Lepisosteus oculatus: one gene and its partners. The protein of the gene in region 4 binds, or shares a complex with, the protein of the main gene of each other region. Links are inferred from orthologs where the notes say so. Each region holds a gene or a part of one and is shown on either strand. Other genes may lie near its edges.

Region 1 (7,820 bases), on a different chromosome or scaffold from region 4:
TGTTTCTATAACTTTCCAGTTTGATGCCTGGCTATCCAAGCTTTTTATCCCAGTTTTTCTTTATCCTGCATGGAAAAATAGATAATTCTGAACAAAACATATTGCACTCCACTCCTCTTTCCAGCTTTCTGGCATCAGCAGTCTTACATTTCCTTTAAGTCATTTTCAAAAACATTTCCTTCAATTAAGTGCAGCTTTCAAAGGTTTTTCTTTCTGGTATGCATCTGTTAGTGTGATGTATTTTCCTTGCAGTTATTCAAGGCCTTGTAGGTATTATCCGTAACGTGCCTTACATACTAGTGAAGCTAGATTCACAATTGTCTCAATCCAAAGTGATGGATTCTTTGCCAGGTAACACAAGAAAATATATGTTTAAAACAGCAATGCTGCTGTATGGAATTTAAAAGGGTACTTGACAATATAGTAAAAGTTAACTAATTGTTTCCTACGCAATAGCCTGTAAAGCTACATAATATAATATAATAGCTTGCAAAGTGTCACAACGCATTGAAATGAGCATACGGAAGGTGTAAGATCCTGCTGTAATCTAACAAGAACTTTCAAATGTACACATTGTCAGCAGTAGCTAACTAAAATCACAGACAATGATTTCTCTCCATTTAAATTAACATTTTATCTTTATCTCCAGTTATGCAACCCATAACAGACTATTGAAAATGTTGTACCTCATAGATTTTTTATCATAGCGTATTCCATGAAGATCTACAGTGACTGTAAGACATCAAACATATACTGTATATTTAAATGCTGTTCATTAATTATGAAGGTTAGTATCTTTAATAATGACTGGATTACCAGTCTAATTAGCAGCAATATTATTCTACTAGGGACAATAGTTTTGAGTGAAATCCTATCAAAATGTGCCCCAGGAAACAAGACACAACAGTCTATTTTGAACAACAAAGACCATTCAAACAGACAGGAATATGTTTAGCCTACACATGTCACATTCACATACTTATATTATTTCCATTAATATGACCTGTTCGGTTTCCAATTACATCCCACAGTCCATATATCCCATCTACTGCATCCAGGGGCCAGTAGTGTGACGCACTGGCTAAAATTTTCAGACCTGAAGAAAAAGAAGAAAATACTTAACAGCCCATTTTACAATCGAGCTGTATGTGTCCAGCAAGCATTGATTAAGTCACAGGTGTTAATACCTGTGAGAAATTAGGTTTAGTATCAATTTTATTTTCCTGATAGGTTTCATTTCAGAGAAACTCTCAGTAGCTTGTGATCACAAGGCTAAATGTTGAGAAGCCCTTGACATGTCATTGTAAAAATGTATATATCTCGCATATCTTAAGTGAAGGACATATAAGGATGTAAGTACTGTATAATAATGATATATTAGGATGTAGGTATTGCATTGTGTATTATGTCAATTTCAGATTAGTATAGTACTATAACTTTACTTTTAGGATTTGTATCAGTCTTTCAACCAAATCTAATCGATTACAATTTCTGAAGCATTTAACTTTAAAATCATCACATAGCCCTAAGTGCTGCAGAAACAAGAAACAAAAAGGAAAACAGACACATATGTTAAAAAATAAATACACCTCCATATCATAGGTTTAGAGAAAGATGAAGCACTCTGCAACTTAAAGAAAAGCTTTGTTTAAAACTATCACACTGGTTTTAAACAAAATGTTGTTTGGGACATTACAAATATAATCATTTTTAAACCTAATTAAAATAATAAATAACTGAAATCTTAAGCAATGTAAGACCTTTACAATGCTACCTTTAACTTTAGTTAAATTAACAAAACTTTAGTTTAGACAAGCCTTCCTGGTAAAAAATACTATTCTTTACTACAGTGTTTCGTAAAGTCAACTTTCTTGCAACATTAATTAGTTATTTACATTTACTTTATTATCTGATCATCGTATTCTTATTCGTTGACTTAATAAAAATGTATATACAAAACTGGCAAAAAATTAAATTAACTAATATAATAAAAAAACTTTAAATATAAAACATAGACCTAATTTACCTGGATGTTCAGACGGGTTTCCAAATTCACCATAAACCTAAATATAAAAAATACATGTAGCTGTAAAACCCATAATATTGTACATAATGTGTTTTAAAATATTTCGGCGTTAAAAAACAATACACTACCTGAAAGCTGGCACGAATTAAAGCTATCAAATCAATAATATTTTACATAATTTGTTCAAATATATTAGTCGTTAAACAAGAAAAGTAGTTACATTACCTGAAAACGGGCTCGAATTAAAGACAAAAATGTCGTTATTGATAAGAGATGGCAGAGCTTTTCCATAGCTTGGTCTCAGAAGTTTGGACTTGTGCTGGTTTCAACTAAATCCTTTGTGCAGAGTGGCTCCAAAGCGGGTTGATCATCTTCTGCGCTTCTGAAAACGTTCCAGGTGTTGCACAGTTCAAAGCCTTTCTTTCCTTCTTGTGATGATATTAAAACCCCTGATGTATTATAACTCCTTATATGAAAGAAAAGCTCTGATGTACAATCTTTGGACTCTTACATCTTCTTTCTTATAGCTCGTTTTCTCGGTCTTCCAGCCTCTGCGGTGCACCGAGCAGAAAATGATCGCTGCATGGAGTTTTTTATCTGCCAGTTTGGAGCGCTCTGTCTCGTACTCTGTTTCTCGGTGCCTCGCCACAGATTTACTCAACTTGGATGTTAGTGTAAGAATTCACTTGCCTGGCCCCGAGCTCTGTTTTGCTGGGTGGGGGATTTGAAATTGTGATGTCATCCTTTGGGTCCCAGAGAAGTTTTTTTTTCCTTCCCGTTTCGATTGTAAAAGGGTGTATAGACTATGGATTTATGTAATGCACATCAACCTGGCCGTGCCTGGCCATCATTCCATTCGGAGATTAAATACGATTTTTGTAGCTAATATTTAACAGGTAGAAATGTGCGGTGTGACATTGAGTCACGCTCATGAGGACAATGATAAATGTCTACCCAGTATTTACATTTTCGTGTTGCAAACTAAATTATGATGCGGAGATATCTACACCGGTGCTGGTTGAACCCTAAACGCTTTCAATTACACTTTTATTAAGAGGAAAAGGTGCGTGTGTGAATTGTCACATGCCATCATCTCTTGATGGCAATGACGCCTTTGGTGATGTGTATTATGCTACAATCGAAATTCTGATCTATGATGTTATACTTGTGTATTAAAATAATCTGACCATAGACCAATCTGGTCCTTGGGGGCGGTGTGTCAATTTAAAAATGCCGCTGCATCAGATGTGCTGGGAGAGACCGCACAACTAGTCAGATTAGGGCAACAACGACATTAAAGTCGATAAACTGCCCTTCGGCTGATGCCATAGACCTTGGCTCTGTGTGACTGGATTAAAAACCCTTTCTATCAACCACGGAGCTGATCTAACCGGAGACTGATCTAACTGGCCACTCACAATCACTCAAAACATATACTAATAAGATTTGACACAGATCATTTTTATCAAGTGTGAGGTTATTTTCCCCATTTTCTGTAGTGAAAACTCCTGTTGATGGTGTCATTCACAGGTTCCTTTTGATGAGTGTTCCTGTGACTCGATTTTTCCCAAGATTAAAACATACTCTTCCTAAAACATACTGCCCTGTCTTTGAATCACTAATTTTTACCGATTTGGGACACGTGATTGCTGACCAATATAGTTAACATCACTTTGCTATATTCTGAGGTGTAAATTAAAAACGTAAAGTTTCCAGTTTCTAGTGGGGATTTTCTCTTCGTACGATCTCCGAACTATTTGAGCAAGATCACCTGTTCGAGACTGCAAGCGAAATTCGCCAAGCGTTTAGAAACTGGGTGTTTAACAATGACACATAAAACCTAATGGTTCTTCTTAGGACCAGGCTTGGCTCTGTGGAATTTAACGCCTTGTGACTAACATTTTGTTCATCCGCAACATCGTAATTAATTAGTCATTTAATTGGAATCTACTACCTTTGCTCACCCACTGAGAACACTTTGATACATGCGCACAAAGCACCTCTCCTGGAAAGTGAACTTTGCGCTGTGAGAATAAGACGCATCTGTTATTATGGCGAATGGGAGGTTCATTACTATTTCACCGTAATAGCAGGGAGGTTTTGCTAGTAATACAATGTTTCCGCTTCCTTGCTTGGAAATATTGTACTTGCACCACTCCGGCAGCATACACTTGAAAAGCGGTAACTTAGCGCCACCTATTGGATAATTGTTTAAAGATGTAAAGCTATAAATCCACGGAATTGATTTTTAGGCGTTACGTAGCTCGAGCTCATAACTCAATTGCCCAAAGCATTACAATATTTTAATCTCCATTTTACAAAATGAAGATTTTTGTCATATCCGACGATGCATTCTCAAGACTTGATTCTCAACCTATACAGGTGTATCTAGTTGACGTGCAAAGCTTTGAACTCCATTCATACCTGTGCCTCTTGCACACAAGTGTCATAGGTATTCACTCTTGGAAGCGCCCGTCTTCAGATACAGCGATTATACATTCTATCCAGTCACAAAGTTTGTCAAACCCTTATGCACCTTTAAAATCTGCAATGAAATTGGAAGGACTAGTATACATTTATGCTAAACCAAGAGAAACCCAGGACTGTAACATTTTGGGGTGGCGATGCAATTAACAACCGATCTGTGAACCAATGGGAACCGACCAAGAACACTGAAGTTAAGCCATTTGTTTTTTATGCTCGGGGAACTCAGTGAATGAAACAGTGAATCTGGTTTCTCAAAACAAGTTTTATTTTTTGCACCGTTTACATACATTTCACAGGTTTTGAAGGTGGATAAGGTGTGCAAATGTTTCAATACTAAACCTAAGGCATAAGAACTAACAGCTTGATAAGCATCAGTGGCCTCTTGAATAAGATGTTACACCAAGTCCACAAGCTAAAGAAAAGCTCTTTATCTTGACAAATTTAATGCATTCTGTACTGAATTTTAAGACCTTTTTTGGTTAAATCTAAAAAAAAAAGCCTCTATACGAGGTACCACTGACACCCCAACGATCTTACAAGGTTTTAAGTTAATGGTTGGCAATAGTTAGCAATCAAGGTGCATTCTTCAGTGCCCCTTTTGTTCAGCAACATACCATCTCTTAAGACAGCCATCAATCACACTGTAGGTTTATTTAAAAAAAAGTCAGGTTTGGTTGCAAAAGGTTGAACTGTACAGACTAGAGCCAAGACAATTTGGGTTTAGTTTCCTACATATTTAGGATTGTGGCAAGTGTGGTCTGACTTGGCGGGGCTGATTCAATTTACAACGTAGTTGAGGGAATCCGTAGATTCACAAATTTCACTTTAACATAAGATGCAGTTTTACGGTATTTCCATTCTGGATACTCCACTTTACACTTTCTGAAATAACGAATACTAGCTCAGGGACACATAATTACAGATCTATAACTCCGGAGCAAAATTGAGCTTTTACGCATCTGGCACATTCTATCTTACTAAGCCTTCATTGATCAGCCCATTTCAATTAGGATCAACATTAAAAATAATGCTACAGAAAAACTTCACAGCAACACTTAGACCTAGAAAGGCTCCATTTTACAAATATTTAAACCGAAAAACATCAAACAAATGAAAATCTTGAAACTCCACAGCAGAAAAATACACATGGCCAAACTGAGGTGCTGATAAGTATCAAATGCCAAGAATAAGAGAACATTTGAACTGCTTTTTGATTACATAATTTAAGGAAATACTCATGCAGCAGCTAAGCATGAGTTACACCACTTTTCACATTAGACTTCATATTTAATGTGCAATGAAAAATCCTGAGCCAATTGCTTTCAAAACTGAAACAACTTTATTATGTATTAAAAAAGGGAATGAGTAACAAGTGCCACCAATGTGTATTGTTTACTGCAGAAGGCTTATAAATTATCAAAATTCATAAGGGGGCAGAATAGTTGCAGTCCAAAAAGCCAAGTTTTATGCAGGTCCAAAGTAGTAGGAATTGATTTGTATTTTCTCCATCACACTTTCACACCGAAATCCACACTCTCTTCAGCCGCTCAAGATTTTTAAAGCACATATATAAGTGTTCTGTGGAACTACTGCGGGAGACGAGCCGCGCCACCAAGATTTTCACAGACAGCTGCCTATAAAACTAGACGGCCGGTGCCTGGCTCCAGCCGCACTCACAGGTCATCCTCATCATCTGGCAAAGCAGTAGACTGGGCAACCTGTGGAGGGACAATCAAAAATGCAGTTGATATCAGCCCAGCTTAACTGAACAAACGTTTGATACGAGATCGGGGCCTCTAATTCAGTAAGCATGACTTCTGATATAACACTTAAACTTCTCCTCTCAAAATCAACCAAGAGGTGACAACAGTATGCAAAAGCTAATGCGCCCCATTTGATGAGATTGTAATCTGTTTAGTACTCTTAGCACAACACCTGTGGACATCTGTATAGAAGGCAAAACAACCTTGGATTTACAAAATAATTTTCAGTCTGAGTTGGAAAAAAAATCATGTATCAATTTAAACAATAATTCTATCCACAGACCAAGTGAAAGGATTCAGTACATTATGCCACAATCAGTGTTTGAAAGAAGTTAGGTTGCCACAAATGAAAGTCCTGGACAGAGATCATTTAAAACAGTGTTATTAAAATGTTAAGTCTAAAACCGGCTTCGAGGATTATGTTTCTGGTGGAAAAAGACATCCGAGCATAGTAAATTAAGTCATGTATATCAATACACAACTTATAAAATTAAAGATGAACAATGACCTGGTCTTAAGCATCTGTAAAACTGCTCCTTTTAGCAGTGTTGTTGGACACATAAAAGGAGTGAAGGGAGGAAACTAAACCCTAATACATTAAACATACAGACTACAAAATTAAGAAGATCAAGTCAGCATCATACCTGTAAATCTTGCTCATACTGTGCAGCCAGTGCTGGATCCATAACAACCTCAGGTGGTGCCAAAGCAGGCATTGCCACAAACTCCAAATTGGGGTCTCCAATCAACTTCCTGGCAAGCCAAAGGAAGGGTTTCTCAAAGTTGTAGTTGCTTTTGGCAGAGATGTCATAATACTGCAAAGAAAGACATCATTAGCATCAGCCATTGTAAATGTGGTATATCCATACCTGCTTACAATTTTAAAATAAGCCACTGTAATAAATATTTAATGTTTTGTGATATTACTTTAATCTTTCTATGCCTCTCCAAGTCCACTATTCAACAAAAGACCCACCTGAAGGTTCTTCTTTCTATGGAAGACGATGGACTTCGCTTTCACTTTTCGGTCTTTGATGTCTACTTTATTGCCACACAAAACAATGGGAATATTCTCGCAGACTCTCACCAAATCTCTGTGCCAGTTAGGGACATTCTTATATGTTACCCTAGATGTTACATCAAACATAATAATGGCACACTGGGCTGGAAAAGAAAAAAAAGGACAGTCAAGAAGAAATTCACACCATTTGTAACAATCAATTTAAAACTTCCAATTTTGGTACATCCTAAGTGGGCTGTGCCATTAATCATAACATCCCTGTTAATCAGGTGTTTTAAATTTATATTTAAGAACAACTATTTCATTCATAAAACCAGTTCCTTATTCCAACCCATCATTTAAGAATGAACACATTGTGAACTTACCTTGAATGTAATAGCCATCACGAAGACCACCAAATTTCTCTTGCCCAGCTGTGTCCCACACGTTGAATTTAATTGCACCTCTGTTGGTGTGAAACACGAGCGGGTGGACTTCAACACCCAAAGTAGCTGAAGTTACAAAAGAAGATGCATCAGTGCCA
Region 2 (7,196 bases), on a different chromosome or scaffold from region 4:
CGCTGTGCCTTGATCTACGACTGTCAATGGACTCCCGGCTCTGATATCATTTAATATCATCAAGAGTGATACCACAGCGCTGGTTTCAATGTCACAGAGCTGCTCTCGGGTCTAGCTGGGATATTTAGCTCCAATTATTCAAAGTGCATTTCTGAGGCTTGCTCTCCAGTATGGCAGACGGATTCCGTAAGAGGAGACTCGTCAGAAGACTTGGACACTTGACTCAGTGTCCAACCCCTGCCTGGACGGACAAGGTCTTCCCCTGTTCACGCTCGAAGGACAGGGTCCAGCCCCACACCTACAGTATTGTCCGCTAGGCCAAGACGGGCGACAGAGTTTGAGAATGAAGTATCCAGGATGCCCAGTTACCAGAAGCAAGAGGAAGTAAAAAAAGACACAGAAATAAATCATGATGACTGCATGCCTGTCAAGAGTCGTGTGACTGTAATTAATACAACTACAAGCTATACTCCAAGTATCCCTGTTCTTAGGACATTTTGCACCAGTAGAGAAAAAAAGGCAACATAAACAAAAAATGTATCAGGGCATCTATTTGCAGAAATTTGCTCCAAGCACAAGAACATAACCTAGACCTGACAATGGTTTCTCACACAAGGACCAGTCAGGTCAGCCTTGGTCCTGAAGGCTCCCAGTCCAGCAGTTTCACAGATGCCCTTAAATCAGCACATTAGACTGGAACAAACGTGAGTCTGATCAGCGCAGTCTTTCTACCCTTTTGTGCCAGTTACAGCCTAAATGGGCTGAGGGGCCTCAAGACATGTGAAACCTTTCCTGGTAATATATCTATGTACCTATCATAGGAAAACACATACTGCTCTGACGTGATTTTTTACATAAGGGTATGAATTCTACGTCATCGACCTGACCTCCTCCCACCCACCTTCTGTTTACACAACACTGAGATTTTCTACTCAACCACATGCTATTAAAAAAGTCAAGCGTTTGTCGATCAGACCGGCGTTACTGCCGTTCTGGTCAGCGGGGCTGCAGCCTGGAGCCGGGCCAGTGTGCAGTGACAGGGCCTTCCCCTGCACATCGCAGGCTCTTGCAATTACTGATGCTCATCCTGCAATGCAGGACGGTCCCATCGAGAGGGCCGAGAGCCCAGGGCCAGGCCCTGCCTCTGCACCTCTCCCGCAGCTCCTTCTTCACACTCCTCCTCCCCCCCCCCCCAGCCCGGAGAGCCAGCGGACTCCAAAACTCCGCGACAGCAGGGAGACGACCGCAGAGCACGTCCCGTCTGCTGCACGGATGACCAGCACACACCTCTGAGGTGCACTCTCGGGACGTCCATTTTGAGGGAGGTGTGCTTTTGAACGGGGGGGAAGAAAGTCTGTGTCTTTAAGACAGAGAACAAGGGACGTCACAGCGCTTTATAAAAGTGCGTGACACGGAAACATTCCGGTGGAAAAACTTGCCCTGATCAATAGTGATGAGGTGAGATTCTTCGGAGGCTGCCGCTCCGTAGATCAAGCGATTTGAGATCATTTGACATGAAAGGCGCTACATACGTGCAAAGAATTGCAAGAAGAAAAGAGCCCTTTCAGGACCAGGAGGTTCTCCTCGGGGTTTTCAGGAAACACACAAAAAAAAAACTTATTGCGGACACAACACTAGTTTTCATTTACGGCTGCGCTCGTGGTCGTTTATCAGGCCTTATTAAAATGAAGGGGGCAGTAAAATGCAAATCTCAGAGAGGAGACAGAGAATCCGGCCAGCAAGAGTGTTATGGCAGTAATTTCACACGGCTCGTGCACATGTACCAGAGCGCGGGTGCGCCACGAGCCCGGCGGCTCGTGTTTGTTTTTTCAGTTGAAAGCCCATTATCTCGAGACGACCTGTCACCCCTCCCAATTAACGACATACGCCACTACCGCGCGGCATTCGCCAAATAATAGTTCTCATTACCAAAATCATTACAGTCCTGGCGTATCGCCACGACCGGCATCTCGGAGACATAGCCGGTGGGGCACAGTCTTCTGTATTTATTAATAAGCGAACACCATTCACCTGCGTTAAAGTCACTTGGCCTCTCACTAACCCCCTGGCTGTAATGAATTATTTACAGTGAATATGACAGGCAACCTGCTCGTTTGTGAGCGGGTGAACAGAATGACTTTCAAACTTCATGTCAGACGCTGAAGGGGTTCATACAACACCGGTCAGACGCGAGTAGGGAGCGGACCGATGGAGGTCCCTCCTCCTCCTCCCTTCTCCTCGGCAGGCCAGCGAGGAAGGCTACCTCGCCCGAGGGGCAGGAGTACGTGAAACATCTGTCGCGATCACCGCGCCTCGCCATACTCCTCTTATTATTTTAAGTCTTTGGGGGGGAAGAAAAGTTGCCCCTTTCGCTTTGAATCCGCCCGGGACAACGCAGACCGGTACAAACCTCGAACAGCTTACGGTGCTGGTACTTCAAAAACACAGGACCGCGTTAACGCGATAAACCCGCAAGACTTACAGAAGCGCCTTCGCCCGAGCAGGTCCAGCCGCCCCGACGCTGGCTGCGAGGGAAGAGGTGCTAAACTCTTCATCCGAAGCGCCCCGCCGTCGTCCCGCCTGTACTCTCCTCCCGCAGGCGTGCACAGTAATGAGCACACGGTCACGGTCACGGTCACGGACGGGACCCCGGAGCGCCAGCGCGTGTGCGCCGCGCGCCCGCCCGACACTCACCTGGGCTGGGAGCCGACACGCGCCCGCGGCCCCGTGCGCGGCGCCAGAGACGTGTGTGTGTGTGTTGGGGGGGGAAGTTCAGCTACTGGCGCTGCAGACCCCTGCGCCCCATCGTCCGCAGGGCTGTACTGTCCAGGGGCCCCCCAGCCGCTGTCGGGTGCTCTCACGCGATGCCAGAGGAAGCGGGGCCGGCTCGTTGTGCGCTCTGCTTCCGCGGCTGCTCCGGAGACAGACGGGTCAGGTTGTCTTCGCTCCAAATTAAGAAGCCGGCGGCAGCGTGCACCCTATCTCCCTCCCTTCTCCCTCCCCCTCCTCTCTCTCTCTCTCCCTCCCCTAGAAGATGGCACTTGCTCTGCTCTGTGTTGCTTCTCACTCGGACGGGTTTTTTTTTTAACTCTTCCGCCGCCGACACGCAGCTCTAGGGCTTGTGGGGCAGACGGGTGGCCGGGACGATCCGGGTGTGTTCAAACGTGTCATAGCTGCTGGAAATAGCCAGCGAGTAAACAGACACCGCCGTCGTCATCACCCGATATCACGACAATAATAGCGATAAACACCGCGCTTATCACTGACAAGTTCACGAGTTCTGTTCTAAAACGTTCTGAAGGATTGTTTTCCCTTCTTGTGATGTTCAGCAAAGAAAGTCATGGACTAGTTGCTAATTCAACAGCGCACAGTTCAGATTCGCTTCTCTGAATGATCTTCGCCTTGCAAGACCCAGCCGGGGAGCCAAGATGGTCAAATTCTGAGGCGCAAGAAGACCCATTTCGCTCAGGGACCCCTCAGTCCCGGGACACCCCATCAGCACTCACACCCGAGGCGGGGGGAATGAGAACCGATCAGTTTCACCGGCTGAAAGTTAAAACGAATTGATATAATTTTCATTTCCACTGATTTCAGGAGTTTCTGCTCCTCGTCGCCCAGGCGACCGCTCGCGGAATAGATTCAATATTACATCCCTGTGCTCTTCCTCCTTAGTGTTAGTTATCTTAGCCTCTCCGGAGTAGAGGTTAGTTTGCCATACTGCTGTCCGCCTCGGGTTTAGGGGAGAGCTTCCGCTATTACTGACTGTTTCGGGGAAGCAGCCGCATGCAGGCGCGCTTGCTCAGATGCTGGGCTGTGTCGCTGGAGACTGTACCCCTGAACAAGGAACAACTCCCGGGCTCTGCTGCTCTGCCCTCGTTTGTTCCCTCCCGGCGTATCCAGCGACAAGCAGGAATCAAAAACGGCTTCGCTCGTTACGGACTCGCCCCTCATGCACGTACGGCGGAGGAGCGCGGCTCGGGCGCTGCGGGCCCTCGGTGTCGCACCGGGCAGTGAGGAAGAGCAGTAGCGGGACGGGCTGCCGCAGACACTGGGGTGCTGTCCTCCGAGGCTTCGCTGACTGACCCCAAAAAATTCAATCTTTACGCTAAGGGTGATGGGAGCGTGGAACAAGCTACCCAGCCAGGCTGCTGAAGCTGACACCCTGGCTGCATGTGTCCCTCGACTGGGTTAGCTCCTAGCTCCTGGGCTCAGGGGCGGGAGGGATGGAGTGGCCTCCTCTTGTTTCTAGTCTTTCTTGTGTCCTTGTGCAGCATTTCATTCTTTCAGCATTTCGTTTCCTCTCCTCTTCCCCTGCGAGCTCCGGGGCCGGGCGTGGCCCAGTCCAGACCAGCCGGGTGTAAGCACTGGGCTCTGGCGTGACCAGAGGGCAGCTTGAATTCTTATTGTCTTGAGTTACAGACATGCGTTCATGGGAATAACCAAATACACCAAACTGGTTTATCATAAATTGGTCTGAAACTGGAACCACATGACCCAGGTGCTCCTTGGGACTAAGACCCAAGAAACCCTCGATCTGTGGCTTCCCACACTCAGTACATCCAGACTTTTTTCAGGGGTGCTACGGAGACGATGTTCCCCCCCGTTCCCACCCCTGGAAGGAGGAGGAGTCGGACTGATGCGGGACACACTGGGCTTTTCGAACCTGCGCAGAAGGCCAAGCTGTTGCGTCTCCGCGAGGCCCCCGGACGCCCTTGAAGCCGCGCAGGCTGGGAGACGGAGGCCCCGGGTTCCAGTTTCAGGTCTGCTCGGGAAGGTCGCGGGAGAGCCGCCGCGCTCGGCACGCAGGGAGCAGGCTGAAACTGGACACCCCGCGGTGCTCTGCGCAGTCGCGCCTGCCCAGCCTGCAGGCCGCAGCAAATAAGGTTATTTTGAGTCTGAGGTGCCTAAATGCTTTTAGCCCTGACCGTATTGAGTCTCGGTAGCGCGGGGATATTGAGATAATTCCATTGTGCATCATTTTCAGTTGTGAGGGAAGTGCATTAAATAAATAGGCTTAGCAGGCCCCGCTGTGACCTCCGTTCCAGCCATTAGGCAGCGGATGAGAACCCCCCAGCGCTCAGGTGGCAGCGCTGGTGCAGCGTGTCCAGCTGTGTGCTGCAGTGTCTCTGTCTGCGGTGCTGCAGGAGCAGGAGTGTCACCCCTCCCCCACCTCTCTGCCCTGTTCGCAGCACCTCGTGGCAGGACCCCTGAGAGCCAAGCGCTGAGGGAAAGACGCTGTCGCAAATCGTGGCGGCAGAACCGTATGCAGTGAAGGTAATTCTGGTGCTCTTTCTGGGGCGATCCGGGGTGAGACGGGACAGGCTCACATACCTGTCCGTGTGGAGTCTGCACGTTCTCGTGTGTGTTGGGGGCTCCAGTTTTCTCCCACCTACCAAAGACATGCACATCAGTATTGATTGGCTGCTCTAAATTGTGAGAGCAAAGGGGAGCTGGATTGAGTGGGATTTCATACGAAGGGGCTATTCCCAGTGTGACCAGTCCTGGCTAACGGAGTGCGGAGAGTACGGAGAGATGGAACTGAATCCTTAAAAATCTTGGAAGATGAGCCAAAAAGCAGGGAGTCCAAGAGTACAAAGAACAGTTTCTATCCATCATGTTTCGTTCCGGGAAGGGAACGAGCCCACACCTCACTGGGAAAATGCCAGAAACCAGGAGTCTGAGCGGGCAGAGCAGGGCAGTGAATATTGCTGGGTCCGGCAGACTGGCAGCCCTGCGCCCTGTGTTCGGTGCTAACTGGAGGAGGAAGGTTGAACGCCACTGCAAAGATTAGCAACTCTGAGGGTGGCATGTCAGCAGCTGCTGGAGAGAAGAAAAGACGTTGGTGCAAGACAAACAAAAAAAATCTGTTTCACGTCTGCTGCCAGGCAACGGCTATAAAAAATGTTCAGCAATTCAGGGAGAGTTAATCTGAGCATTAGGGAAAAAAACATCTGTAAACTTCATGGAAAAAATGAGCCAGATCTTTTTTTTTTCTGAACACAATAAGCAGAAAAGTAAATAAGCGCTTCAGCCTCTGCTCTCAAGAGGCGAGAGGTCAAGGAGAAAAATGTCGTGGTAATCGAAAAGAAGCAGCGCAGCTCTGCACAGGCAGGACCTGCGGGGCTCCGGACAGCTCCAGGCCCAGCTCCAGGCCCAGCTCCAGGCCCAGCTCGCGGCGCAGAGCCGGGAGGCCGTGCGTCTGTCGCTGACCGTTCCGGCGCTCTGAGAAACTGACCGGGGCTGGGTCCAGGCCTCAGGGCTCAGGAGTCACGAGCCACAGCCGGGGGGTGAGACGGGAAGGGAGGTCGGTCGCCCGAGGAGGGCCGATAGGGCCCTGACTTTACACGCTGTCACAGGGGCCGTCCGGGAAAGCAGGGAGTCATTTCCCCGAGTCTGTCCTTCTGCCGTCCTCTTAAAATAAACCGAGACGGCTCAGGAATTTCCTCTCTCCGGGAACCTGGGCACAGAAAATCCCTTTCCCCCCGGAGTGCAGAACTGCCACCAAAGGAGAGCATGGGGGACAGCTGACGGGGGGGACGCTGTGGCCGCCAGTCCGGGGTTCTCGGAGCGCTCGCTGGGTACAGCGTCTCGCGGTTCCGGCAGCGAGCAGGAGCCGGGAATTCCACTGGATCCGGCAGAACTCCTAGGTAAACGGATCCCATTGGTCCAATTTGATGTCTCTGCACAGAATGTAAGCTGCTGGCAACTTAAATGATCCTAGAAGAACAGTTGGACTTCAGGCCTTCTGCACCAGAGTTTCGAATCCTGGTACTAGCCAGTCAGGTCATGTGACACGTTGAGCTATGCGAGACAGGAGCGTCTGAATTGCAGTGGTCATGAGTGTGTTTTTATATTTTGTTGTGCATGTCTAAGCAGCTCATCAAATTAAACTTGATTCGCCCCCCACGATGACCGTTCATGAGGTTGCAAAAATACAGAAGAAATGAAATCGTCTGATGCCCCTTCCTCTCTTCTCTTTCAGGTGGCTGATGGCCCGGACCCCCCTCTCACCTTCCTCCTCCTTCTGAGACTGGTCCGCTGAAACGGCCTCCTGCCCAGCAGCGAGGAAGACCCTTGCAGATGGTTCCCCCCTCACTCCCCTTGTCAACGAAACAAACCTCAGACAGGCCCTGAGCAAAATGAGGCCATTCGTCTCCTCCTGCTCATATGTTTGCTAATAGCTTATTGATTTCAGA
Region 3 (7,081 bases), on a different chromosome or scaffold from region 4:
CCCCCCCCCAACCCTCAATTCCGCCTGCCTGCGCTCCACAGAGCCCTGATACCGGACCAAGCGGTGGCAAAACTCAGAGCCCCGTAAACGACGCGCGGACGAGCATGTGGCTCTGAACACTGCGCGTGAACACATTCGGTCGTCACACCTGAAGAGCAGCAGCTCCCCTCCGTTGTCTATTTCAAACGCTCGCTTTTGTGCACCATTCCCATCTCGCGTTGGACAAATCTCAGTCGCCCCCCCTGCGGACAAAGGTGCTTGGAAGGGGTGGCTTTCATTTCGCTTTCTTTCCGTCTTCTTTCCCAGCCACACGGCTTCCCTCTTTCGAGTGCATGACATTTGCCAGACCAGGGTCAGCTGACAAGCACTGACCTCTCCTTCAGTCCCCGCACTTCTGATATTACCCCCTAAATGACCGCTGCCCTCCCTGTGCTCGTGCTAAATGAACTACCACTTTCCGGTATGTTGACCATCTGCCCTTCATGTATCAGGATTAGGTAGGTCAAGGCGTGTCAGCACACTACCCGTGAAACCCTTGGTTTTAAAGACACGTCTGGCGTTAGTACTGTTGAATGGGTTGTTTTGTTTTTTTTAAAACGCGTGGCTCTTTTTTCAATGCGCAGACTGCGATGCAACAACTTAGTGGCTGGCAGTGGAAAGCGGACGAGAAAGTATCCCCGAAAGTTTTCCCCGTCTGAAGCCTACTCCGAGACCCCGGCGTCCGCTAACAACCGGCACACAGTTCCCGATTCCGTGCCGCGCTCACGGTGCCCACAGAGCCCCCGCAGCACCGGCAGCGGACGCCTTTGTCTGGTTGTTCAAAAAAAAAACCCAACAACGCCTTCTGTCCGGAAAAAAGGGCCAGTTTTACCCCCCGATCGCTTCCGCTCCCTTCACCCGAAAGGGCACAGGGGGGACGTGATTAGGTCCGGCGCAAAACACGCCGGGGTCTCGGGGAGGTTAATAAATCACTCAGCGACTAATGATCGGAGCGGCAAGCATGCGAAGACATGTCGCCCCACCCCCGCAGAAAGACTGGTGTGTGCTCTCTTCAACTTTCCAACATCCATAAGTTAATATCTCGCTGATAGGAAACAATTATCGGCGAGGAGCAGCGCCGTGACGACCGACGGGTGTACTTGGAAAGACGAAAGAAGCGATTTTTTTTTTATTTGCAAGTTCTAATTACATTCACCACACGTGCCCACATCGGTTATTCGTGCCCCGTGCTGCTCGCTCACAGCACAGAGAGCGAGCCCGTCTGCCCTGCACGGGTCTGCAGTTGTTAAAAAAACTCACCACACGCCCCTCACCTGAGCGCGGGGATCTGCTCCGAAAACAGGAACTTCGAAGTTGCTAGCTGACTTCACGGTCAGCAAGGGCTTTGAGGTCAGCTTTACGCAGATCAACACGGACACGTTTAGAAACTGTGGTGCTGTACTTCAAGCGAATGTGTCTTATGACGTTTGCCCCTCCAGACGTGTGAGAAAAAAGATATATTTCACACCGTAAAATGTAGCATTAGCGTGAGTCTGCGGTTCCAAAACCTACTGTGTTGTATGGTTACTACAAAATAACAACTCAAGACACCTCCGATTATTCTCATTATAGTATTATTATCATCACCGATGTTGCAGACCTACCCCATATACCGTGTCCGAAGCAGTAACGCTCTGAGGTTGCGTACGAGTCCAGCGGAGTCTTGCTGTATCTTGGGTTATTCTGAAACCATGCTCCTTAATTCCGTTTGGTTTTGAAAGTCCCCCACCCGTGGAAAGCTGCCTCCCGGAGTGTCAGGATTTCTTCTTTCTTTTTTTCTTCTTCTCAAAACCTGGCCAGCTGTGGACGCCGCTGTTTCTTCTTCCCCGCTTTCCACGGAATCCACGCAGGTTCGCAAACCGGCTGCGAGGGAGCGGAGCCGCGCGGCGCTGGCATTGAGAGGGGCCCTTCCGCAGCGCGCCGCCTCCGTGGGCAAAAGCACGCGGCAAGACAGCGCCGTGGACAGCAGCCACCGGCGGATAAAACTGCGAGGCGACGGGACGTCTTCCGTGCCGCTCTTGGCCTGCCGTACAAATCCCGTGTCCGCCCGACTTGCGCTCCTTCGCAAAGGGAACACTAGTTGTCTCTGAAGCTTTGGAAGCTGGGAGGCGCGCTTCACACGGTGACACACACACACACAGAGCAGCCCTCCGCAGTGCACGCAAAGTCCCACTACGGAATATTATTTTTTTTTCCCAATCAGCTTGGTTTATTAAAAGAAAACAGCGAGGGTGGGGAGAGCTCTCCACTCCTTCTTTGTTTAGAGACCCAATGAAAAAGTGTTTCAGCGCAGAAAAATACTCCTTTTTGTAATCGCAGATTTTTCCCCCCTCTCTCCTGTCTTCTGACTCCGAAATGAAATCCAGATGTTTCTCCCCCCTCTCTCCCTCTCTTTTTTCACCTTTTCGTCGCTGTCTCTGTCGGAGACCGAGACGTGGACGGCGTGGCCAGTCTCGCACCTCTCGGAAAACCTTTCACTCCGGCGTGGCAGCGGCGGGCATAGACAAGAGAAATCTCTTGGGATTGTTTTTTTTTTCATTAAGCGGGAGGAGACTCTTTGAATTTACTGAAACAACTGCTGAAAGTACAACACGTCAACGCACAGCAATGAATGACCCGTTGTTCTGTGGGGCAGAGATAGCGAGTTAATGATTGAACGGGACCCTGCAGGAGCAGTTACCAGCAGGGCTACTCGCCGGGAAGTCTAGAAAGTAGGTTATTCCCTCTGTAGAAAGGTTTGTCACAGGGTGCCCGCGTTTCAGACACATTCGGGGGAATTAGCACAGACTTCAGTTCTCCCTGCTGGTTAACCGCTGCCCTTACTCTTTTTTGAAAACAAAGTTGCCCTGTTTACGTCAACCAAAAGACTGCTTATAGCTGTTCGCGCGCGTTCGTGCTTTTCTTTTTATCTGAGAATTGAGACGTTGCCTGCTTCACATTTAAAAGGTCTCCAGATAAATTGTCCAGTTCTCGATTTATTTTTGTTTATTTTTACTTAACCCCCCCCACACACACACACACCCCGCATTCCCACATTGCGGAACGTGACCCCGCTTTGTTGTGACGTGACGAGACCCCGCCGATTGTCTTGCAGCGGAGCCCGTCTCGCGTTGCATGCAGGTGACGTCATCGCCCCCCCCCCACTGTCACATCTGCCTGCGAATAGCCACGAGACGTATGTCGCGATGACCTCATTGTCACAGGAATCATTAATAGAATGATTAATTATATGTGCACACACCGGCAGTTACAGCGGTGGTAGCGTTTTTTCCAAGTGTTTTTTATTCTGTTTAGTTTAGGTCAAACCACACATACCATTTGGGCAAAGCGACGTGTTTCTCAATTAAGCGGTACAAGCGAAACTGAACCACGCGGCACCCCTTCCACAAATACCCCTCAACCCCCCCTCTCCGCAAAGAGCAAATAGCGGTGAGGACTGCTAACCACAGCAAATCTGCCAGCCGTGTTCGCAGTAGTAGCTGGTGTTACCCATAGCATGCGTTTTACACGTGCTGTGCATTGCCATGTTTTCCCAGAAGGTGCGAATGTGTTGGATGCTTGCTGTGTTTTACCAGGGTTTTACCGTGGTTACACTTCACTCTGATTTCACCCCAGTGTGCTGCCAGTGAGGTTTACTACAGGAGCCAGTGATTTATTTGTAGTGATTTATTTATCGAGAGGAGCCAGTGATTTATTTGGCCTGTGGCCTTCTCTGATCACTGCATTATAAGATAAGATCACTTTATTAGGCCTATACAATTTCTTGTATTAGGAACTTATCTTTTCACATACCTCAACTTGCTTTCCATGAGACACACAGACAGGGAGAGAAGCTTGGGGTCAGAGCGCAGGGTCAGCCATTTATACGGCGCCCATGGAACAGTTGGGGTTAAGGGCCTTGGTCAGGGGCCTAACGGAGTAGGATTCCTCTGCTGGCTGGGGGATTTGAACCTGCAACCTTCTAACCACAGGTGCAGATCATTAGCCACAGAGCCACAGAGCCACCGCTTTGCCCCTTATGGCCTGAAACCAAGTCCGGCCTGCAGCCTTTTCTAGAAGAGAAGGATGACATATTCACAGTGAGCGCGTTCACCCTCCCGACTCTATCCCAGAGTACCCAGTGGAGGTGTATGGGTTTTGCCCCTATAGTTAAACAGTGCTGTCAATCCCACAATGCCCCTGTGTTAGGGTTAATGAGAATCTCAGATGCTGAGTGTGAAGGCAGTGTGTGCGGGGGTGGGGGGACTGGGCTGGACAGGGTGGATGTCAGACACCAAGAGCCCTCTGTTTGTGTTCTGAATGTCCCCTGCCTGATTTTTTTTGTCCTTTTTTTTCCAGCCAGATCTCAGTACTGTTCCTTGCACAGCTGGGGCAGGACTTGGGAGTCGCACACAGAGGTCAAGTGACAGAACCTCACTTCCTGCTGTGGGCCACCACAGACATTCCGCTGTCTGTGAGAACTCTGCTGGCCCTCACCGGGCCTCCACATCTGGGAAAGGTAGCATGTATACACATATAGGGCCGGATTCTTTAAACAGATGTTTGGGCGCAAAGCCCAGGACGCTCAGTGGTATTTTAAAAACGACGTTTCTCAAAAAACACGTTTTTTCCCCCCTTTCTGTTAGCTGTGCAATGGAATGCGTGCTGTGCCATTCATCACCTCTGAATGCAGAGGGATTTGTGAGTGGCTCTGACATGGCGGGTGAAATATTTCTTCTCATGTGGACTACCAAACAAATCCTCCTGCGGACCTACCCACATCTTAATCGCAGCCCCCATAAACAAACAGAGGATTAAATCAGACGAGCCAATGTTGAAAATTCACAAACTGGAGATACATTCTCCTAAATAAGGAAAATCTACTTTGTGTGCGGAGCACAGCGGTTGGAATTTGTGCGTCAGAATGATCACAAGTTTAAAAATGTGATTTTCAGTTGGCTGTCTGTTGAGTTTACACAGTAACCTAACCTGTGCAGCTAAATGGAAATGACTTTGTTTGACAGGTTGTTAATGAAAGCAGTGTTCCTTGATTAACACTCTATTTTTTGCAGGATTTCTTAAGTTTCCTGGCAGGGGAGGTATGGAAAGAAAATCTGGCTGCTGTACAGACCGGTTCTAGTACTGGCTTGCCTTTCGGGGCTCAGATTTGACACTCCGAAGTTAATTGTGGCTTCACCCCGAAATTGACTTACAGGATACAAAAAAAACTAGAACGCGCTCACTCTCGTTCTGCGGCGCCTGGTCGTTGCCGTGGTGATGCCCTTTGTTTAAGACCTGTTTGAGGGGGCGGGGTTGTCGTGGGAAACAATATCATGATGTCACAGTATGGGGAAGGGGGGGTCGATGCTCTCCCCTCTCACGTGCCCTTGTTGTGGGCTTGACTGGGGCGAGGTAATGCTAATTTTAGTGCTGAAACCCAAACCAGAGAACACTGGTGAAAAACGTTGAAGTGCATTTAAAGCCAAAAACAGGAGGCACTCCTTTACACAAAGGGTGGCGGGAGCAGTGTGGAATGAGCTTCCTAGCCATGCAGCTGAAACTCATACCCTATTTTCTTTCAAGCAACAGCGGGATGAGATCCTTGGATCAATTCATTACTCCTTACAAAACGAACAAAATGAGATGAACAATTTCCTCATTTACGTCATTTGTAAACTTTTTGTTATGTTATGTTGAGACCTGGACTGGAGCTGCATGGCGGTGCAGTAATGAACTTTACCACCGGGCAGGGTTGGGGCCCTGGGTTCGATTCCTGCCCTGGAGTGCTGTATGTGTGGAGTTTGCATGGTCTCCCCATGTTCATGTGGTTTCCTCCAGGTGCTCTGGTTTCTAGTAGGATAGTTGGCTTTTTAGAAAATTGGATTGGCTCTGGCTCCCACCGGGACACTGAGTTGGATGAAGCAGCTGGAAAATGGATGCATGGGTGTCTAGGGGCAGTAGAACTGTGTAGTTTACCTCTGCGGAGCCACATTGTAAGAAACTGATCCTCGACTGTGCCAAGGCTGACCCTCCAGTGACCACAGCCTCAGCGCCTTAAGCGCTCTGCCAGTGGCTTTCCACTTTCTCGCGGGCGCATCAAAAGCCTGGCAGCGGGCGTCACAAATGCGCGCCACATGTGTGCCAGCTGTGCCAAGGACAGCTCCGTGGACAAGGGGACAGACCTGCCACCCTGCTCGAGGACACCAGTCTTCCAGTCCCGGCGACTTCAGGTGCTCCTGACAGAGCGAGGCGAAGGAGATGCAGGGCGGCACCCAGTCCGTCAGGTTTTATTGATCTCTTCAAATCATCAGATCAGTATTTAAGGAGTTGGGCTTGCCGACTGTCATCCCGAGAAAGATACCCAGCCTTTTCGTGCCCTGTCCTGAGGACCAGTGTCACAGCGGTTGTTGATGCCTAATTTACCTGCTACCTATTCGCCGAAAGTTTCTTCAAATAAAATAGTCAGCTACATTTTCTGATCTGGTGAGGTCGATTGGCGTCTAGAAATGTTTCCATGTGTGTGTGTTTGCCTTGTGATTCACTTGGCCCGTTCAGGGTGCAGTCCGCTCTCTGTCCCGTGTTTATGGGATAGCCTGCTGGGGCGCTGTGACCCTCACTGGGAAGAAGCTGCTTTCGGGAGGCAGACAGATGTACCTTGAATCAGGTCAGAGTCATTGGTAGCTTCAGCCCCCATTCCATACAAAAGAAATGTAATAGATCCATTGAACCATGAATAACAAAATCAATGGGGTGAACACCTTGGAAGGAAAACAGCATTAAACTGAAGGTGAGCATAATAGAAGGGCTGAAATGAAAGAAAATGCATATGATATTACCTAGAACTCACAACTGGTCGAGGAATTTCTACTGGTAATTCCATTCGATCGGGTGAGTAACAGGGTAGGGTGTTGAGAGTTCACACACATTCTGTGAGCTCTGGCAACCTAAAACACTCATAGCAAAAACTGCGATTCTCACACTGTGGTTATTTCTGGTAATTCAAAGTGGTACACTGGCAACGTTTGAAAACTTTTTGACAAGAAGAGGAAATGTGGATTTTATG
Region 4 (7,807 bases):
GTCACCAGGGTTCCCGTTTCAAACACATGACTGACCCAGAACCCAATCTCCTTCGCTCTTGCCATCACAGGATGACAATACAAGCATTTCAGCTCGTCTGGAAATCCCCCCCATCAAAGCTGTAGCTGAGGGGGTGTGGGGCCACCCCCAGCTGCAGGATCTCGTGCGCCGCTCACACACGCAACCACCTTCTAGCCATCCCAGCCACTGAGGAAGACCAAGCAAATAACTACTGTTCACTCTTTTATTCCTGGGAACGAGGAAAGGGTTTATTCCCTGCTAAAAGAAGAAGAAAGCAAAACAACGTTTTGGCTGTCGAGCCTTCTTCGGGTGTGATCCTATCAGAGAGGTCAAAGACTCATCAATAATACTCCGTATTTAAAGAAGTAGGGATAAATTCCAAAGCAACATCTTGCATTACTTATCCCTCCATCCATCTTCTAGCCACTTCATCTAATGAGTTCCAGTGGAACCAGACCCTATCCCAGCGAGCAATGGGCTCAAGGCAGGGTACACTCTGGATGGGACGCCAGGTCATCGCAGGCCACACACACTCACACCAGTGCCAATGTGCCCCAGAAGCCAAATAACCTACCAAGGTGTCTTTGGACTGCGAGAGCAACTCACGCAAACACAGGAAGAACATACGAACCCCAGGCAGATAACACCCCGGGTCAGGAACTGATCCCAGAGCTCTAGCGCCGAGAGGTAGCACAACACCACTGTGCTGCTTTTGCAAGGCTTGTACCATTCAAAATTAATTATACACAGTTACATGAGTCATAACACATGATCTCGTCATTCAAGGGCTATGAATTACTTTACACTTTCACACGCCGATTTATTGTGCTAGGGGAAAAAAAAACTCTGCTCTGCTCCAAAATTAATAAGAAAAGAGTATCAAAAGAAGCACGCAGCAAAGCTATAGCCTGACCTATCCAATAATGCAATGTGTGACACATGGAAAGGTCATGCAGCATGCTGCACAAAGAGGGGGGAAGGATCTTAGCAAAGTCAGAGCTCTAACAGGGAAAACTCCACCTCCAATACGAAAAATACACCTAGATATTCACCTTCCCTTTGCGGTCTTGTGACCACAAAAGCTCTAAAGATAGAAGAGCTTGGAAAACCTTGCCCATCGCTAAATGTAGCAGTAAAGGGAAAACAAAATCATTCAAACAGACGGTCTGAACGGATGCTGTAGGTTGTCTATTTGAACAAAGCCAAGCCAGTCCCTTTAGAATTCTTACTGCCCAACAAAGCCTTTTAAACCAGTACTTCATGCACGGCTGCTTCTTATTTCCCCCTAAACCACTCATTTTTACTGCACCCTCACTGAAGCACAACTCTCTTTGAATTCACGTTAAAGAGTTTCTGGTTCCGTCACAACGACACTGTTTCCCCCCAAGTATACAGTACAATCATTATCTGTAAAACAGGTCTCTCCCTGACAGAAATGTTGCTTATAAACATCGGAACAAGCGACTCACTTGATGTCACTGAGGAAAAAAGACTCATCTGTGCGTCTGGACTGGCCTCGGCCTTCTCCCCCCACACCGGATATGGCCACTTGCTTCCCTTCAGAAATGTGTTTCTATTTCTTTAACACTGCTCATGCGACCTCTGAAACCGGGACAACACCCTACAGCTATCACCTTAAATCAAACAGAAGAGTCTGTAGATGCGAATCGCCCCGCCGCCGTCTAGTTACACATCCAGTAATTATTAACGTTCGCTGCAGACAAAACCTGTTTGAACACCAGTAAAGGAAAAATTCAAGGCAACTGAGAAGACGAGATAACCCCGGGAACGGGCCGGACGACAGGAGAAAACTCCTGAATTCCGTCTCAAATACTTCTACAACAAACAAAAAAAAAAAAAGAAGGGGCAACCCGCTTTTTTAACCTTCCCTTGGCAGGACATTTTTTTTCTTTCCAAGTAAAACACTCAAATCACTCGTCAGAAAACTTAAAACGGCACCGCCAAGCCCAGGTTTCACCAGGGGGAAAAAAAAAGACTCTCGGCTTCACTGCAAACAACTGAAACCGTGCCCTCGCTTCTCACAAAAAAAAAATGAGCCAACGAAACATAGTAACTGTTTTCAAAGAGTCATCCCCAACTTGGGCGTTTCACCTCTACCCAGATTGCGTTACATCGCGGTGTGAAATGCAGATATCTGGCTTTTCTTCGCTGCAACGCGTGGATACCGTGCAGAGCTTTTCTGATTGTGCACCGTTTACAATAGCCAGGCTTCTCCGGCAACTTTTGAGTGGCTAACCTCCCCAAAAAAAGTACCCACCAAGGGGGAAAAAAACAACAACTCCTCGTGCCAGATTTCTTGAAGGGGGGAAAAGAAAGAGAAGCGTGATTACACACGAAAGACGAAAACGTGAATTAGCGCCCGATTAACCCCCCTTCCTTGTCTAATACAACCAAATAACATGGGCGTTTCTTCTCTCTACGGTCGAGGGGATGTCTCCCTAAGAACACAACTTTACTTCTGACCCGCTCCTCAAGTGCGCAACTCGGCCGTTTAAGAAACGTTCCCTCCCCCCTCCGAAAACCCCGAAAACGAACCCCAGTCGGGCCGGACGACTTTCTTTTCCGAACTTACCTTTAATTACATTGCTGTAGATCGTAGCCCGGAACTCTTCCTTGGCCCTCTGATCGAAGTCCTGGCCGTGGATGATACGCATTTGCTTGAGGAAAGTGGACTTGCCGCTCTCTCCTGCTCCGAGCAGCAGGATCTTCACCAGCCGCTTCACGTACGTTTTATCCCGGGAAATACATTTGTCGATCTCCTTGGAAATTCTCAGCTGCTCTGCCTCGCTGCTGTTAAGAAGGCAGTTAGGAAAACAAACTGATAAAACGGACCGAGACGGCAGGAAATCCGCCATCTTTGAAGCAACTTCATCGATACAGCAGGGAGGGAAAGGGCGCGCCCCCGAGAGTCTCAGCTCCGAGGCGGGCGGGGCGCAGTCGCATTGTAAGGGCGCGCACGAATGCGCGGCGTAACTTCTACTGTGGTTTTAATAGGGGGTGGGGTTTGGAAAGAGACGTAGAAGCGTGGCCTTTACTTGGTTGGATGTGGAAATCCGTCATTAAGGGCTCATTTTTGATAAAAATAAAATCAGATTGAAACTCGTTGCTGTTGCAGATGCGACTCCTTGTAGACTATTACATCCAGACGCGCAGGTCGACAGAGCTTCTATAAAGCGTTGGTCTTAACGGGCTACTGCTGCACCAGGGTCTTTCTTTTGTTTTGGGGATCCCCTGCCTGAGGAAAGAGAAGACCCCCGCTGGGAATTGTCGGGATCCTCCGCCCCTGATTGAAACCGAAAACCTCAGTGTCCCAAATTAAACATTATTTAATAGTTTTAGAAAATGTCACTTGCATTTAAACCCACAGTTAAGCAAGGACAGCTCAGCTCTTTTGTAGGTGTTTATCCTGCGAAATTCTAGTCGCGTAATTACTCATTTCCATTTTCATCAGGGACAACGATAATCCTTTGTTTATTGTTTCAATAAGCGTTTGTTTCTACAATATGAATTGTTCAAAGTCAAACACTACAGTTCAGTTAAGATCAGTCTCGGACTTAATAGTATGCAAAATAATCAGAAACAGAAATTGTTGTTTGTTAGATTGATGTATATAATAATATATGTATTATTAATAGGTAAAGTTTTGTTTTCTCACATTCATTCATTAGCTGCTTCATCCAATTCTGGCTTGCGGGGGAACTTATCAGAGCAAGCAATGGACGCAAGGCAAGGTGCACCCTGGACAGGGCTCCACCCCATCGCAGGCCAGCACACGCATACACTCACACCAAAGACACTTTTCCCAGAAGCCAGCCTGCCAGCACATCTTCGATCTGTGGGAGGAAACCCGAGCACCGGGAGGAAATCCACATGAACATGGGGAGAACGTACAGACTCCACCCAGATAGCACTGTAGGGCTGGAATTGTACCCAGGGCCCCAGCACTAGAAGGCAGCAATGCGGATCACTGCACTACTGTGCACTGTGTCAATTCTGTTTTCTCCTGTCCCATATTTCCAAGGTACAAGCCTTACCCAAAGGAGGGTTCAAGGATGGCATAACCCAGGGTGGTGTCCTCATATCTGAGAAAGTTGGTGGGGATCTCCGTTGTGGAGCACACACGGATGGAGAAAAACACAGGCGCACAAGGAACAGCCTTTGTTGTTTGACTGCACAACAGAGGAGCAGTCAGCGAAAGATAATATCCACCACTTTGCTATGATCAAGAAAGATCATTGTACGTGGGTGAGCCTCCTAGGCATATTTATGAAATGTAATAAAATTATCACTTCAATCAATTTATGAGTGAAACCGTTACAGCTATGAACAAGTCAAGTGCTGTACAAGAGCAGTCAGAAATGCACAGTTGTCTGTGTGAGGATATTATGCATTAATTCTCTGTTAAAAGCTGAAAAGAGACTGAAGATCTCAGTTTGAGACTGAACGTTTTCGGAGAGAACCAGGGGGACCCGATACAAATATTCAAGATCCACAAAGAAAGTAAACCCAGCAGAACTCTTTAGAATTAACTGTGAATCACAGACCAGTGGGCATTGGCAGAAACTGGGGAATTCATGCCTAATGCCTAATTAGGAAGAGAAAACAGGAGATACTTCTTTACAAAAAGGGTTGAAAGAGTACGGAACAAGCTACAGAACCATATTTTTGAAGTCGGCACCCTGTTTTCTTTTGAGGAATGGCTGAATCTGATTGTTGGATTAATTGGACTAATTGAATGAATTGCCAACCTGCCTAGAAGGGCCCAATGGTCTCTTCTCCATCGCAGCAATGCTTATGTTCTAATTTTGATTAGTTGAACAAGAAAGAGAGAAATCCATCGGAAATGAGACAATTCTAATGGAATGCACACGAATGGGGAATATTACCCAAGCAATTGTTACATGAAAGATGAAGGTTTTGTGATTGTGTAAGTACTCCTGAAATAGCCCACACTCTTATGCAACATGGAATTTTTTCATATAACATCATTATTGCTTTTACTTGCTTTCTTTTGAGTCATTCAAGTCATTCAATCAAGAAATGATTATTTCTTCAACTATTCCTTTCTTCACAATGGCCTGACTATCAGTTATCTCAAGGATAAATAACATGAACAAATTCTGGCTCGCTAGTCAGTGAATCAGTTTCTTCTTAACTGTTAAGTAATCTTCTTTCTTTTCTTTTTTTGTTCATAACAAATGAATTAACCATTTATTTTTTAAAACCGCTTCTTCCAATCAGGGTCGCGGGGAGACCGGAGTCTCCCGGTAGGCCATGTTGATGGGGCGGGTTTACACAAGCACATTCACACCGGGGCTGCTTTTCCCAGAGGCCAATCAACCTACCAGTATGTTTCTGGACTTCAGCAGCGATGCTAACCACTGTGTCATCGTGCCGCGTGTGAATATTATGCTTATCATATATATATATATTTGTAATATGAAAAATAGTACCCTTCAGTACGTTTTATTATTTTCTTGAAAACCAAGAAACATTTCCTGGGTTCTAGTACATCACCCAGCATTGTACAGGACACGCAGGAAACCAAATGCTCTGTGCTCTGAATGGTCAACAAATGTGGATATGTTCCCAAGAAGAAACGAAATGGAAAGAAGCTACAAAACTTGAAGGCAACATTAAGAAAAACAATAAGAAAGTTCACCTTAAAATATCGCCGACAGGGGGCAATGTGTTATCGATCGATGGTATCTTTAACATGGCAACGAATACCGTATATGATATTGCAGATGTATTTCAGGAAGATAACAAATTTATGCAGATATGTGTGAGGCAGTGACGTTTTCACATTCTGAAAAAAAAAAGATTTATTGAATTTCCATAGTTGTGTAGGAATGAAACTGTAAGAACAAGAAGTTGGGCTGACACAAGTAAAGGAGCACCTTAAAGGGGTCAGTATTATAACTTTCTCTTCCTAACTTAAAATGTGCATTTGACGCAAAGATTGGGGAGATTATGGGATGGCGGTTTGCAAAAGTGGAACTATTGTGACATATTAGGGCTGAGTAGGCCACCAAATTAGAAGTATATAAGTACACAATATTAAAAACAGTTAGCGGGAATGGATAGTCCAAATATTACATGGCTTACAATGTACTAGAAGAAGCTGCTTCAAATGTTAAACTCTACGTTGCCGTCTATCGGGCAAGTTTAAGAAGTGCAGTGATGCTGCCGACAGAGGTGACAGGTTGTGAGAATAGAGCCGAGTTGTGATTGGTTGGGATATCAATCCCAGCGCTTTCTTCATATTCGCTGTGGTTTATCACTCTAACAGGCGGCGTGTGTGCAAGAGGAGAGACGCCAAGACCGTCTGTCCCTGCGCTAGTTTGCTGTCTTTATCGTTGTTTTTGAACGCATTGCTTTCTCACAGCTAACGACAGCGACAGGGAACGCAAATATGACTATCAACAAGCTCTGTGATTACAGCCAGCATTATCGACCTCGGATGGCGTGTCTGAAAAAGGTAGGCTTGTCATACGAGGAATACCTTGGTAACAAATCAGAAATTGCGTTGTATAGTATTGTGCATTTATCGGTACAGCCTGTTGTTTATCTCTATAATTGTATTCCATAAAACAGTAGAAATTAATATCAGGTTACCGCTATGTATACACGTCCTAAACATTTGTGCATATATATGAATTTGCTTAAAGTTTGAACCCGAGAAAGTTATGATCCTTTCCAGTAATTGGCCTGAAAAGATTTTATGTTCCTGATGTTTAGAACGCACAAGCAGGGTACCCTTTCGCATTGTCTGGTTTTGTTTTTGGCGCAGTGTGCTAGTGTTGGTCTAGTAGTTTTAGTTTTATCACGATGTCCGTAAAAAATGAAGGAACGCGATCCCTTGCTCAGTTATGTTTACTTTTCTTTTGTTGTCTTTCCAGTGGTAGGTGCAGGTGTGGCTTGGTGTACAAGCGTGTTTTTCTGCAACATATTCTAATTTTGTTCTCATCCACCACATAAAACGTAAAAACCCCGTCATCTAAATATAGGCATGCTTAATCTATTTTTGTACAAAAGCTAATACTTTCTTGCCCATGCGCAATCTATCTCACCTATAATGAGACTAGGGATCTTTCACGCCTATTGGAAGCGGGATGCGAATTTCCATTCCACGTGTTTTAGGTATAATTAATAGCAACAGGGCATTCAAAAAGGCATTTGATAAGCATTATTTGACTTTTTAAAATTACCCAATCTCTATCTTTGTTCCAAGCCTTGAATTTAAGGAACTGTTGTATTATGAAAAGAAATGTACACATCACCTGTGTAATGCACTTTGTGCATTTTAAATCCACTAATTCACAGAGCTTTCCACAGTTCCTTAGACCTTTCAGTGATGACATGATCACTCCCTGAATCAAGCCCCTTAAAATGCACTCTTTCTTCATCGACAGGATATTCCCTTTTAATGTTCTATTGACACAGTCCTTATCTGAGCCATAATCTGCCATTGCAACATCAATCCAATGTGGAATTCCCTCATTCAGTTAAAGTGTATTCCACTGGTGCTACCCCTCCATCTCATCACCCTTTCCATTCCCAGGATCATCAAAGATAACGGCTCCATTTTACAGGATGATGCCTTAACTGGAACACTTTCCAGTCCCCCCTATCATCTCATACTGCTGATCACCTAACCTGTGCAACCTTCATGTCCCTTACCCACCCAGAGTCACATCCACACCAGGAACCTTATGTTGTAACAGAAGCCACAGCATCGCCTGCAAATATGTATCCAGTAACA

Evidence for each region. Proteins that work in one complex are often made in the same cells at the same time.
Region 1: the proteins of gna13b (region 4) and adgrd1 are in contact, whole or in part, in a cryo-EM structure (PDB 9V0U), measured with the Homo sapiens proteins. The link is inferred for Lepisosteus oculatus from reciprocal best matches to the Homo sapiens genes GNA13 and ADGRD1. Residues at the interface, in NP_006563.2 of Homo sapiens: Val49, Val216, Phe218, Phe359, Val362, Lys363, Asp364, Ile366, Leu367, His368, Asn370, Leu371, Gln373, Leu374, Met375; in NP_942122.2 of Homo sapiens: Asn599, Arg601, Leu657, Met660, Val661, Ile662, Val664, Phe665, Ser667, Val737, Ile738, Ile741, Ala761, Val764, Asn810.
Region 2: the proteins of gna13b (region 4) and gpr4 are in contact, whole or in part, in a cryo-EM structure (PDB 9JHP), measured with the Homo sapiens proteins. The link is inferred for Lepisosteus oculatus from reciprocal best matches to the Homo sapiens genes GNA13 and GPR4. Residues at the interface, in NP_006563.2 of Homo sapiens: Arg47, Pro341, Tyr343, Phe359, Lys363, Asp364, Ile366, Leu367, His368, Asn370, Leu371, Lys372, Gln373, Leu374, Met375, Leu376, Gln377; in NP_005273.1 of Homo sapiens: Gln45, Asn50, Arg115, Ala118, Val119, Ala120, Pro122, Leu123, Ala126, Ile204, Val208, Ser211, Val212, Ser213, Thr214, Glu218, Lys221, Ile222, Leu225, Asn290, Glu291, Gly292, Ala293.
Region 3: the proteins of gna13b (region 4) and s1pr2 are in contact, whole or in part, in a cryo-EM structure (PDB 7T6B), measured with the Homo sapiens proteins. The link is inferred for Lepisosteus oculatus from reciprocal best matches to the Homo sapiens genes GNA13 and S1PR2. Residues at the interface, in NP_006563.2 of Homo sapiens: Arg47, Val216, Phe359, Lys363, Asp364, Ile366, Leu367, His368, Asp369, Asn370, Leu371, Gln373, Leu374, Met375, Leu376, Gln377; in NP_004221.3 of Homo sapiens: Ser66, Met68, Tyr69, Leu72, Arg130, Ala133, Ile134, Lys136, Val137, Lys138, Leu139, Tyr140, Tyr209, Ile212, Val216, Ser219, Gln227, Thr228, Leu231, Leu232, Val235, Tyr288.

What each region holds. Positions count from the first base shown.
Region 1 is NC_090717.1:8,653,941-8,661,760, forward strand, and holds the start of adgrd1 (adhesion G-protein coupled receptor D1), read right to left. Parts: upstream 3,015-7,820; 5' UTR 2,318-3,014; coding exon 2,252-2,317; intron 2,064-2,251; coding exon 2,027-2,063; intron 1,097-2,026; coding exon 980-1,096; intron 1-979. Other genes in the region: GTP-binding nuclear protein Ran, read right to left, coding at 6,187-6,231, 6,921-7,091, 7,253-7,440, 7,663-7,788. UniProt on the Homo sapiens protein: Adhesion G-protein coupled receptor (aGPCR) for androgen hormone 5alpha-dihydrotestosterone (5alpha-DHT), also named 17beta-hydroxy-5alpha-androstan-3-one, the most potent hormone among androgens. Also activated by methenolone drug.
Region 2 is NC_090698.1:1,583,049-1,590,244, forward strand, and holds the start of gpr4 (G-protein coupled receptor 4), read right to left. Parts: upstream 3,015-7,196; 5' UTR 2,695-3,014; intron 2,683-2,694; exon of another isoform or gene 2,483-2,682; intron 1-2,482. UniProt on the Homo sapiens protein: Proton-sensing G-protein coupled receptor activated by extracellular pH, which is required to monitor pH changes and generate adaptive reactions. Activated by an optimal pH of 6.8-7.2.
Region 3 is NC_090706.1:15,452,069-15,459,149, forward strand, and holds the start of s1pr2 (sphingosine 1-phosphate receptor 2), read right to left. Parts: upstream 3,015-7,081; 5' UTR 1,644-3,014; intron 1-1,643. UniProt on the Homo sapiens protein: Receptor for the lysosphingolipid sphingosine 1-phosphate (S1P). S1P is a bioactive lysophospholipid that elicits diverse physiological effects on most types of cells and tissues.
Region 4 is NC_090704.1:39,941,717-39,949,523, forward strand, and holds the start of gna13b (guanine nucleotide-binding protein subunit alpha-13b), read right to left. Parts: upstream 3,009-7,807; 5' UTR 2,898-3,008; coding exon 2,615-2,897; intron 1-2,614. Other genes in the region: regulator of G-protein signaling 9, read left to right, coding at 6,458-6,523. UniProt on the Homo sapiens protein: Guanine nucleotide-binding proteins (G proteins) are involved as modulators or transducers in various transmembrane signaling systems.